2 linked regions of the Saccharomyces cerevisiae S288C genome follow. The gene in region 2 interacts genetically with the main gene of each other region. Each region holds a gene or a part of one and is shown on either strand. Other genes may lie near its edges.

Evidence for each region. A genetic interaction does not mean that the proteins touch.
Region 1: mutations in HXT11 (region 2) and ORT1 together harm fitness less than expected from each alone (positive genetic interaction), as found in Saccharomyces cerevisiae (one large-scale study listed by BioGRID).

Annotation. Positions count from the first base shown.
Region 1 is NC_001147.6:569,429-572,972, reverse strand, and holds ORT1 (Ort1p), read left to right. Parts: upstream 1-2,165; coding exon 2,166-3,044; downstream 3,045-3,544. Other genes in the region: YOR131C (putative haloacid dehalogenase-like hydrolase), read left to right, coding at 135-791; AFI1 (Afi1p), read left to right, coding at 3,415-3,544. UniProt on the Saccharomyces cerevisiae protein: Required for arginine biosynthesis. Transports ornithine synthesized from glutamate in the mitochondrial matrix to the cytosol, where it is converted to arginine.
Region 2 is NC_001147.6:22,378-28,644, reverse strand, and holds HXT11 (hexose transporter HXT11), read right to left. Parts: upstream 3,373-6,267; coding exon 1,669-3,372; downstream 1-1,668. Other genes in the region: YOL155W-A (uncharacterized protein), read right to left, coding at 1,427-1,561; oligo-1,6-glucosidase IMA2, read left to right, coding at 4,351-6,120. UniProt on the Saccharomyces cerevisiae protein: Probable glucose transporter.

The sequences.
Region 1 (3,544 bases), 550 kb from region 2:
CCAGAAAAGTCATATATATCTTATAACGAAATATCAGGGTGTTCGACTCAATCGCCAGGTGCCGCTAACACAATCATTAGGATAGTCGGGCAATATATACGGTTCAATAGTCACTGAAAGTGTATCACAGAATAATGACAAAGCTACAAGGACTACAGGGATTAAAACACATCAAAGCGGTTGTATTTGATATGGATGGCACATTATGCCTACCCCAGCCTTGGATGTTTCCAGCAATGAGAAACGCCATAGGATTGGAGGACAAATCGATTGATATCCTTCATTTCATTGATACATTGCCCACAGAAAAAGAAAAAAAAGAAGCGCATGATAGAATAGAATTAGTTGAGGCAAAAGCCATGAAGGAGATGCAACCGCAGCCTGGTCTGGTTGACATAATGAGGTATTTGACGAAAAATGGTATTAGCAAGAACATATGTACTAGAAATGTCGGAGCCCCGGTAGAGACTTTTGTTAAAAGATTTATTCCATCCGAGCTTTCGAGGTTTGACTATATTGTGACAAGGGAGTTTAGGCCTACAAAACCGCAACCAGACCCATTATTACACATCGCCTCGAAGCTAAATATAAGGCCCTTGGAAATGATCATGGTAGGAGATTCATTTGACGACATGAAATCCGGTAGATCTGCTGGATGTTTCACGGTATTACTCAAGAATCATGTGAATGGACATTTACTGCTCGAACATAAAGAACTAGTAGACGTTTCAGTAGAGGATCTTTCCGAAATAATTGAATTGATTCAAAATATGAATAAAGAAAGTTTCTAAAAAAAAAAAAACTTTACTTAGATATGTACATATGATTGAAATACCATTTTATTCTTAGATGTTTTTTAGAGCTAATATAGTAGCTATGGCGGAATTACCTTGATTTTTTCGGCATCACAAAGTTCGAGAACACATCAAATCAGCAAAAAAATCTCCGCGACGGGGAATTGAACCCCGATCTGGCACGCGACAAGCGCCCATTCTGACCATTAAACTATCACGGATTTTAATTGTTGGGTTAACGGTGTTTTTATTAATACTTGTTTCATATGATTTGAAAAAATAAAAAAATGTTGCAGCAAGTGATCATTAATGTCAATATAAATAATGATGGTAGCAAGATGAGTGTTTACGTTAATGTACATTTCATATACTGAGAAATAGGTGAATTTTCGGGATAATCGTTAGGATTTCATTATTGTTAAGGGCTATAATTTAGGTATATCGAATATACGAGAAGTTCTGCACGATGATATAGGGATCCATAAAGGGAACCAATATTTCTACGTACCTGTTACTTCTCCCTCCATTTTATATTTTTCATCATTTTATGACGTTATCAAATCCTTGCATTTCAGTTGCCATTATACTTTACCATTGTTTTTCGATTTTATGTCATCTTCTTACACCGTATGACAATATACCAGTAGTATGAATATCAGTCGATGAGTGAGTTGATTTTTATTCGAACATACACGTTTTAACGTGAATGTACTAAACTGCTAACTGAGCATTTCGGACAGTGCTGAAAATAAGTTAAAGATCTACGCTTTGGTAGTTATGTATACGAGTCATACAATTCGTCACATTAAATGTATAGTATCAAAGACAGTATTATCCACACTTAATCTTCATTAATACTTATCAACAAAAATGAAGCACTCATCTGACTATATTTATATAATATTGCCGACCAAAATCCTTGTGTTTAATTCCAAGTGATTTAGCACCAATCCTATTCCATCCATGCAGGTGCTGTTGCTGCTGGATCCGTGTTTTTGACCAGTCTTAATGAAGCACAACAGCAGCCTACCCTTTTTGTGGACCATATTAATGGATACAATGAGTACTTAGCACGAAGAAAGCGTAGCATTGTAGTTTCATCGTTGCAACTTAGTCCTAGTACGTTCCAGTTCTGCATCGTGACTCACCTTGAGCTCGAAAAATGTGACATATACGTTTTCCGCTGTGGCCGCTGTGGCCGCAGCGTCAAGAATCGCCAATGATAAGTTCTCTGCTCCTGGCGTCGATAGATTCAGAAAAGTGTGAAATTATCGAAGCACGGGTATAGTTAATTGTTAAAGCGTAGATGCTTTGTCGTAGAAACTTTTCTTTAACCTATAGGGAACTCAAATTCTGGAAGGTCAACGTATAATGGAGGACAGTAAAAAGAAAGGATTAATAGAAGGCGCTATACTCGATATAATAAACGGTTCCATTGCAGGCGCCTGTGGTAAGGTGATCGAGTTTCCTTTCGATACTGTGAAAGTCAGGTTGCAAACACAAGCATCCAACGTGTTCCCAACAACATGGTCTTGTATAAAATTTACTTACCAAAATGAAGGAATAGCACGAGGGTTTTTTCAAGGCATTGCTTCACCTTTAGTTGGAGCATGTCTGGAGAACGCGACATTATTTGTGTCTTATAACCAATGTTCTAAATTTTTAGAAAAACATACAAACGTTTCCCCGTTGGGGCAAATCCTGATCTCTGGTGGAGTAGCGGGTTCATGTGCTAGTTTAGTTTTGACACCCGTGGAGCTGGTGAAGTGTAAGTTGCAGGTTGCGAACTTACAAGTTGCATCAGCTAAAACGAAACATACAAAGGTGTTGCCTACAATAAAAGCAATTATAACTGAGAGAGGATTGGCAGGATTGTGGCAAGGGCAATCGGGCACTTTTATTCGAGAAAGCTTCGGTGGTGTTGCCTGGTTTGCAACCTACGAAATAGTTAAGAAGTCGTTGAAAGATAGGCACTCCCTTGATGACCCAAAAAGAGATGAAAGTAAGATATGGGAACTACTTATTAGTGGAGGGAGCGCTGGATTGGCATTCAACGCCAGTATTTTTCCTGCGGATACTGTGAAATCAGTAATGCAAACTGAACATATAAGCCTCACCAATGCGGTGAAGAAGATATTTGGCAAATTTGGACTAAAGGGTTTTTATCGAGGACTGGGTATAACCCTTTTTAGGGCAGTACCAGCAAACGCTGCAGTTTTTTACATCTTTGAGACTCTTTCTGCACTTTAAATACAATAAATCGTGTAATAAGCAAGTATGTAACATTGATAGACAGTCTGTAATACCATTTACTGATCAAGAATGTCGCACAATCTCAACAGCCAGGCTTTGTGTTAGTATTTTGTGTTTTTTACAACAACCTCTCGACTATTGTATACCAGTTTCTTGCATAGATGCTACTATTCTCTGACAGTAAATTATCTAGTCAGGACTTCGGATTTAACTAAATGCAAAAAAAAAAATGATTCGAATGTAAACAAAAAAAACTGTCTAGGTAGCAATGGTTCTTCTATAAAAGTGCAAGCTCTATAAAATCAAGATCAAGCATAGTACCGCCCACTGTTAGAGTCTTTGGTACGCAAACATTTTTGGCTACCGGATGTTGCGAAGAGAACTAAATAACTCTATCAGCAACAGGTCGATAGAAAATGAATCCTTTCCTTTTGAAAGGCCGAATGTCAGCTATATAATATCCGCAGAATTTGATAATAAATTAGGTCCTATTTTGA
Region 2 (6,267 bases):
GCGTTTTATATACGCTTTGTGTAAACAGTTAAGTATTTTTTTAGCTTAATATTTGGATTTTTTTTATTTTTTTTATTCTTTTTGGATGAAATGGTTCCCTCTTCTGCCAATGAAGGGGAGACTAGGTTGATGTGTACACATCGTACACATTTTAAGGACACTTATTTCACTTATTGTCCACAGTAAAATCGTTCAGGCCATAATTAAATGCGAACTTAAGAGAACCTAAAAGTACCTCCCAACTTTTATAGTGGAGCTTCCGCTCTTTGGTCAGAAAAAAATCGAGTTCTGAACACTTGGCTTTATATTACAAATTTCTCCCTTCCAAGAAAGACAAGGGGTGCTTATCGCGACATGTCTCACAATAAACTTTATTATATTTATACTTTATTTATTAATAAGAGTTTCAAATAGGATTCTTGGAGAATTTTCAAAGCGTTTTTGCGTATAAGAAACTTTTCGGTTTGGCTCTTATCAGTTTACTGCCGATCTTTCTTCCTCACTGCTTGACCTGCCACTACGGAAGATCTTACCGACAATGATGTGAGCGGCGAGAACAAGGGAAATCTCGTAAGAATAGGAAACAACCTAACCTCATTTACTAAGAGAACCCGCAGGAAAAGATATCTTTTTGAGGCACAATTTTATGACCGCGTGTTTTCGAATTTTGACAGGGATCATGCAGGCAGAGATTTTCATGTCATTTGACAGCAAGTAACCCACAATCTACAGTCACACCCTTTTTGGCTTTTTTGAGGCGGGACTTTTTTTTTTAAGACATAATTCTTCAGCAGATTGAAATTCTGGTAACCTAATTGAGAAATCCCACGCATAATTGAGTTTTAACTTTCGAATTTTTCAGCAAGATAAATTAATGTCTCGCCCGGGCCATAGACAAAAGAAGAAAATCTATAAACATTCCGTGGATCGCCATGTGATATTTCTATTTAATATAGGCACATGGCTATGGCGAAACCTTAATGTGATACTTATGGTACATATATGTAACATGCTATAGTTACAGTAAGGATTGGCAACTTAATTCGTTTCCTTCGATTTTATACTCTTCGAACGTATTTGCAGTCATTGGCAGTAGAACATCATTTAGCACATCCAACGACTACCGTCGTTGTGCACGTGACACTCACCCCAATTGGACACTGACTTGAACTAAAATAACAGCGTGTCATATAGATAAGGAAGATAAATATATTGGAACTGGTAGTATCACATTTCCATCATGAAAAACCCAGTGTAGCCATATCGAAAATATCAGAAACGAGTGGTAACACGGAACCTATATATATTACATAGGCTGCAATGAGTATATTGATTCATGATATCGTAGCTGCTTGAACTATTTTTCAAGGCTTCAAAAAATATCATGGTATTATTAGCATGCAACTTGTGAAAAAATAAATATGCATTACAGTACAAGGATCTGAGTGTTAGATTTATAGTCGGGCCTAGTTGCACTCTTAATAATACGGTATACATAATAATGGATTGCCATCCGACAACTATAGCCAGTCACGCATTTATTGAAGCTTCCATAAAACATTCATTAGAAATTAAAGGGTACAAAAGTAAAAACATTATGTATAATAGAGAATTAGTTTCGTCAATTTTTTTTTTTGCTTTTTTACCAATTTACCGAAAACTAGAAGATCAGCTGGAAAAGAACCTCTTGTAAATTGGTCTATTGTCATGATCTATTGCATCAGCATCGTAATCTGCGGTTCTTCTCTCCGGTGGCACCCATGAGGCCGATTTCCATGCTGGCACACCTTCCAGCCACATAGTATTCACCTCCTCCAGTGTCAGGCCTTTTGTTTCTGGGACAAAGAAAAAGACATAAAAGTATGCAAAAACCAGACAGCCTAAGAATACGTAACCGTAGTAAAAGTTGATTGCCCCGGTAATGAATGGGGTAAAGAAACTAATCAGGAAACCCCACATCCAGTTTGCAGCTGTTGCGATTGCCATTCCTCTTGATTTGACCCTAAGAGGAAACGTCTCTGAGACAATAACGTAACAGCCGCCTGCCCAAGTGGTGGCGAACGAAAAAATGAAGAACATAGTAAACACAATCATACAGTTACCGGCGCCCTGAGAAGTAATGTCTTGGTGACTGCTTCCTTGAGGCCACAACTTTGTCACACCGACGGAGGCAAACACAGCAAAGCAGCATAGCATAGAAGCAGCACCCCACAATAGACACGTACGGCGTCCAAACCTCTCAATGGTGTATACCGCTATGAATGAAGAGAAAAAATTAACCACACCGATAATGATCGAAGTCTGAAAGGAGTCCTTTAGACCGACAGATTTGAAGATGGTGGTACCGTAGTAAAAGAAGTAGTTGTCACCGGTTAATTGCTGCAGCGATTGGATCATCACTCCCATGAGAACACGCTGAAAGACCTTTGTTTTAGTGGAGAGTAGTTCAGACCATGATGCGTTACCTGCCAGCTTTTCAAGTTCAATTCCTGCCTTTATAGTGTCATATTCAACTAGCAAGGCTGGATCGTCAACTGAGACTTTGTTGGATTTCGATAGTGAACGTTTCGCTTCCTCATCTTTACCAACCTCAATCAGGTAACGTGGTGATTCTGGTACAAACATCATTCCACTAACCATGAATGTAGCCCAGGCAAAGCAAAGACCAAGGCCGACTCTCCATTGAGTGGCGTTGTGATAGTTCTTGGTACCGTAATTGGTACAGTATCCTAGAAAAATACCCATCGTACCCATCAGCTGGTACAATTGGACCAGAGTTCCTCTGATATGTTTGGGAGCAACTTCAGATATCAACATTGGGGAAAGGACAGCAATGCCTCCCACTCCTAGGCCAGAAATAATTCTTCCAATGAAGTATTGGTACCACTTGTTTATGGAAGTTATTTGGATTAGGATGCCTACAACGTAAATGGCAGTAACTGTAATCAATCCAATACGACGACCATATATATCACCGACTTTTGACAAGACAATTCCGCCTATGGCGCAGCCAATGTTGAATATTGAGACGATCAAACCCATTCTTACTTTCGATAAGTAGTAGGTTCCCTTGTCATTTTTTTGACCGAACCTTCTGATGAAATCAGAAAGGTTAACAAAACCAGAAATGGTACCGGTATCCCAACCAAAGATGAAGCCGCCAAATGCAATCATCAAACACAGGATTGCGACGGTGGTATACGCAGAGAGGGGTTTTTGAGGTAAGTCAATAGGTGGCTCATTGGCATCTAGGTTAAGGGAATTTTTAGAGTCACCGTGTTCAGTCTTAACAGAGGGAGCGCCTACTGCTGAGTTAGAGTTAGACATGGTAGTAGATAACTCATTTGCGGATGTATTATTAACACCTGACATGATATTGAGTAATAACAAAAGCGTTTAGAACTAAATTGTGCAATGATTATTTTTTTCAACTCATACCAAAAAAAGAAGAAGAAAAAGATAGGAACAAGTGTGCTCTTCTCTAGTTACACAACTGTGACATTATATACCTTTAATTAGCGAAAAAGAGGAACTGAGAAAGATGAGCCTAGACCTTAAGAGCTAAGTAGTATACGGTGTGTCGAACTGCTACTGATACTTTGAACGAAGGTGTCCGAGTGTATGCATTGTTCGTGTGGTCAGCATTTATTGTGGAGGAGGCGGTTTCATCTACAATTTCCGACGCCTGATTTTCCACGGATATAATTTATTTTTTGACACCTGGAGTTTACATTTCACAAAATTTCTTTCTTTTTTAGTTTTGCACTGATTTCCCCTGAAATAAAGAAAAAAAAGAAAAAGAAGGTTTTGTGAAGTGCCAAGGGATGCACGAGAAAAGCACTTATAACTCGCACGGAGAAATGATTATGTAATTTTCGCGGAGAAATGATTATGTAATTCCGCGGAGAAATGGTTATGTAATTTTTGTGGGGAACTGAACAAGGTCAGTTTACGCTTCGTACTTTGTCGTGGGACTACGTATACGCAAGATTGCGGAGGCAGTGCAATAATGGGGTCTGCTTGCAGATGGTATGATCTGCTATAACGGGCCAAGGGCCAGGCACGCTCTTGCAGAACATACCATGTTATATCATGTAGGTTGTGCAAACATTACCTAAAACTGAAAGCTTCGTTTACATACAGCACTCCTTCCAGATCCTAAATTTACTTTGTTCTTTTCTTATTTTCGATCATTCGTAAGACGTCCATAGGCACGTAAAAGACATATATAAGTAAGAAAGACTTCTTCACTCGAGGAATTAGCTGTACTAGAATATATGTTCCATTCACCAGTCCAAACACACAAACAAAAGTGAAAGTTTTTTCATAAAGAAAAGAAAGCAACGTACAATGACTATTTCTTCTGCACATCCAGAAACAGAACCCAAGTGGTGGAAAGAGGCCACAATCTATCAAATTTATCCCGCAAGTTTCAAAGACTCCAACAACGATGGGTGGGGTGATATGAAGGGTATTGCCTCCAAGTTGGAGTATATCAAAGAGCTTGGTGCCGATGCCATTTGGATCTCACCATTCTACGACTCGCCACAAGATGATATGGGTTACGATATTGCCAACTACGAAAAGGTCTGGCCAACCTACGGTACGAACGAGGACTGCTTTGCCTTGATCGAAAAGACACATAAGCTTGGTATGAAATTTATCACCGACTTAGTCATCAACCATTGCTCGAGCGAACATGAATGGTTCAAAGAGAGCAGATCCTCAAAAACCAATCCAAAACGTGACTGGTTCTTCTGGAGACCTCCTAAGGGTTATGACGCCGAAGGCAAGCCAATTCCTCCAAACAATTGGAGGTCTTACTTCGGTGGTTCTGCATGGACGTTCGATGAAAAGACACAAGAGTTTTACTTGCGTTTGTTTTGCTCCACCCAACCTGATTTGAATTGGGAGAATGAGGACTGTAGAAAGGCAATCTACGAAAGTGCCGTTGGATACTGGTTAGACCATGGTGTAGACGGCTTTAGAATTGATGTGGGAAGCTTGTACTCCAAGGTTGCTGGTCTACCAGACGCTCCTGTGATTGACGAAAACTCAAAGTGGCAACCCAGTGATCCTTTCACAATGAACGGACCACGTATCCATGAGTTTCATCAAGAAATGAACAAGTTCATCAGAAACAGAGTGAAGGATGGCAGAGAAATTATGACAGTTGGTGAAATGCAACATGCTACTGATGAAACCAAGAGGTTGTATACAAGTGCATCAAGACACGAACTTAGTGAGTTATTCAACTTTTCCCACACTGATGTCGGGACTTCGCCCAAGTTCCGTCAAAATTTGATCCCATATGAACTAAAGGATTGGAAGGTTGCCCTTGCTGAACTTTTCAGATACGTTAACGGAACTGATTGTTGGTCAACAATTTATCTGGAAAATCACGACCAACCTCGTTCAATTACCAGATTTGGTGACGATTCTCCTAAGAACCGTGTTATTTCTGGTAAGTTGTTGTCTGTGTTGTTGGTGTCACTGAGCGGTACTCTATATGTGTACCAAGGACAGGAACTGGGTGAAATCAATTTCAAGAACTGGCCTATCGAAAAATACGAGGATGTCGAAGTTAGAAATAACTATGATGCGATCAAGGAAGAGCATGGAGAAAACTCGAAGGAGATGAAGAGGTTTTTGGAAGCAATTGCCCTTATTTCCAGAGACCATGCTAGAACACCTATGCAATGGTCTCGTGAGGAGCCAAATGCTGGTTTTTCTGGTCCTAATGCTAAACCATGGTTTTACTTGAACGAGTCTTTCAGGGAAGGAATTAACGCTGAAGACGAATCCAAGGATCCCAACTCGGTTTTGAACTTCTGGAAGGAGGCCTTGAGATTTAGAAAGGCACACAAGGATATTACTGTATATGGATATGATTTTGAGTTTATTGATTTGGACAATAAGAAACTGTTCAGCTTCACAAAGAAATACGACAACAAAACATTGTTTGCTGCTTTGAACTTCAGCTCTGATTCGATTGACTTCACGATTCCAAACAATAGCTCGTCGTTTAAGTTGGAATTCGGAAACTACCCAAGAAGCGAAGTTGATGCGTCTTCCAGAACATTGAAGCCATGGGAGGGCAGAATTTACATATCTGAATGATTGATGATTGTGACGACAAGATTTTTATACATATACATATACTTATTTTTATCTATGTTACATACCGCACTTTAAATAGTAACGACATATATCTGGTAGTGCGGTATGAGTTATGTAATACACTAAAGTATAGTTTTGTGTAGCATT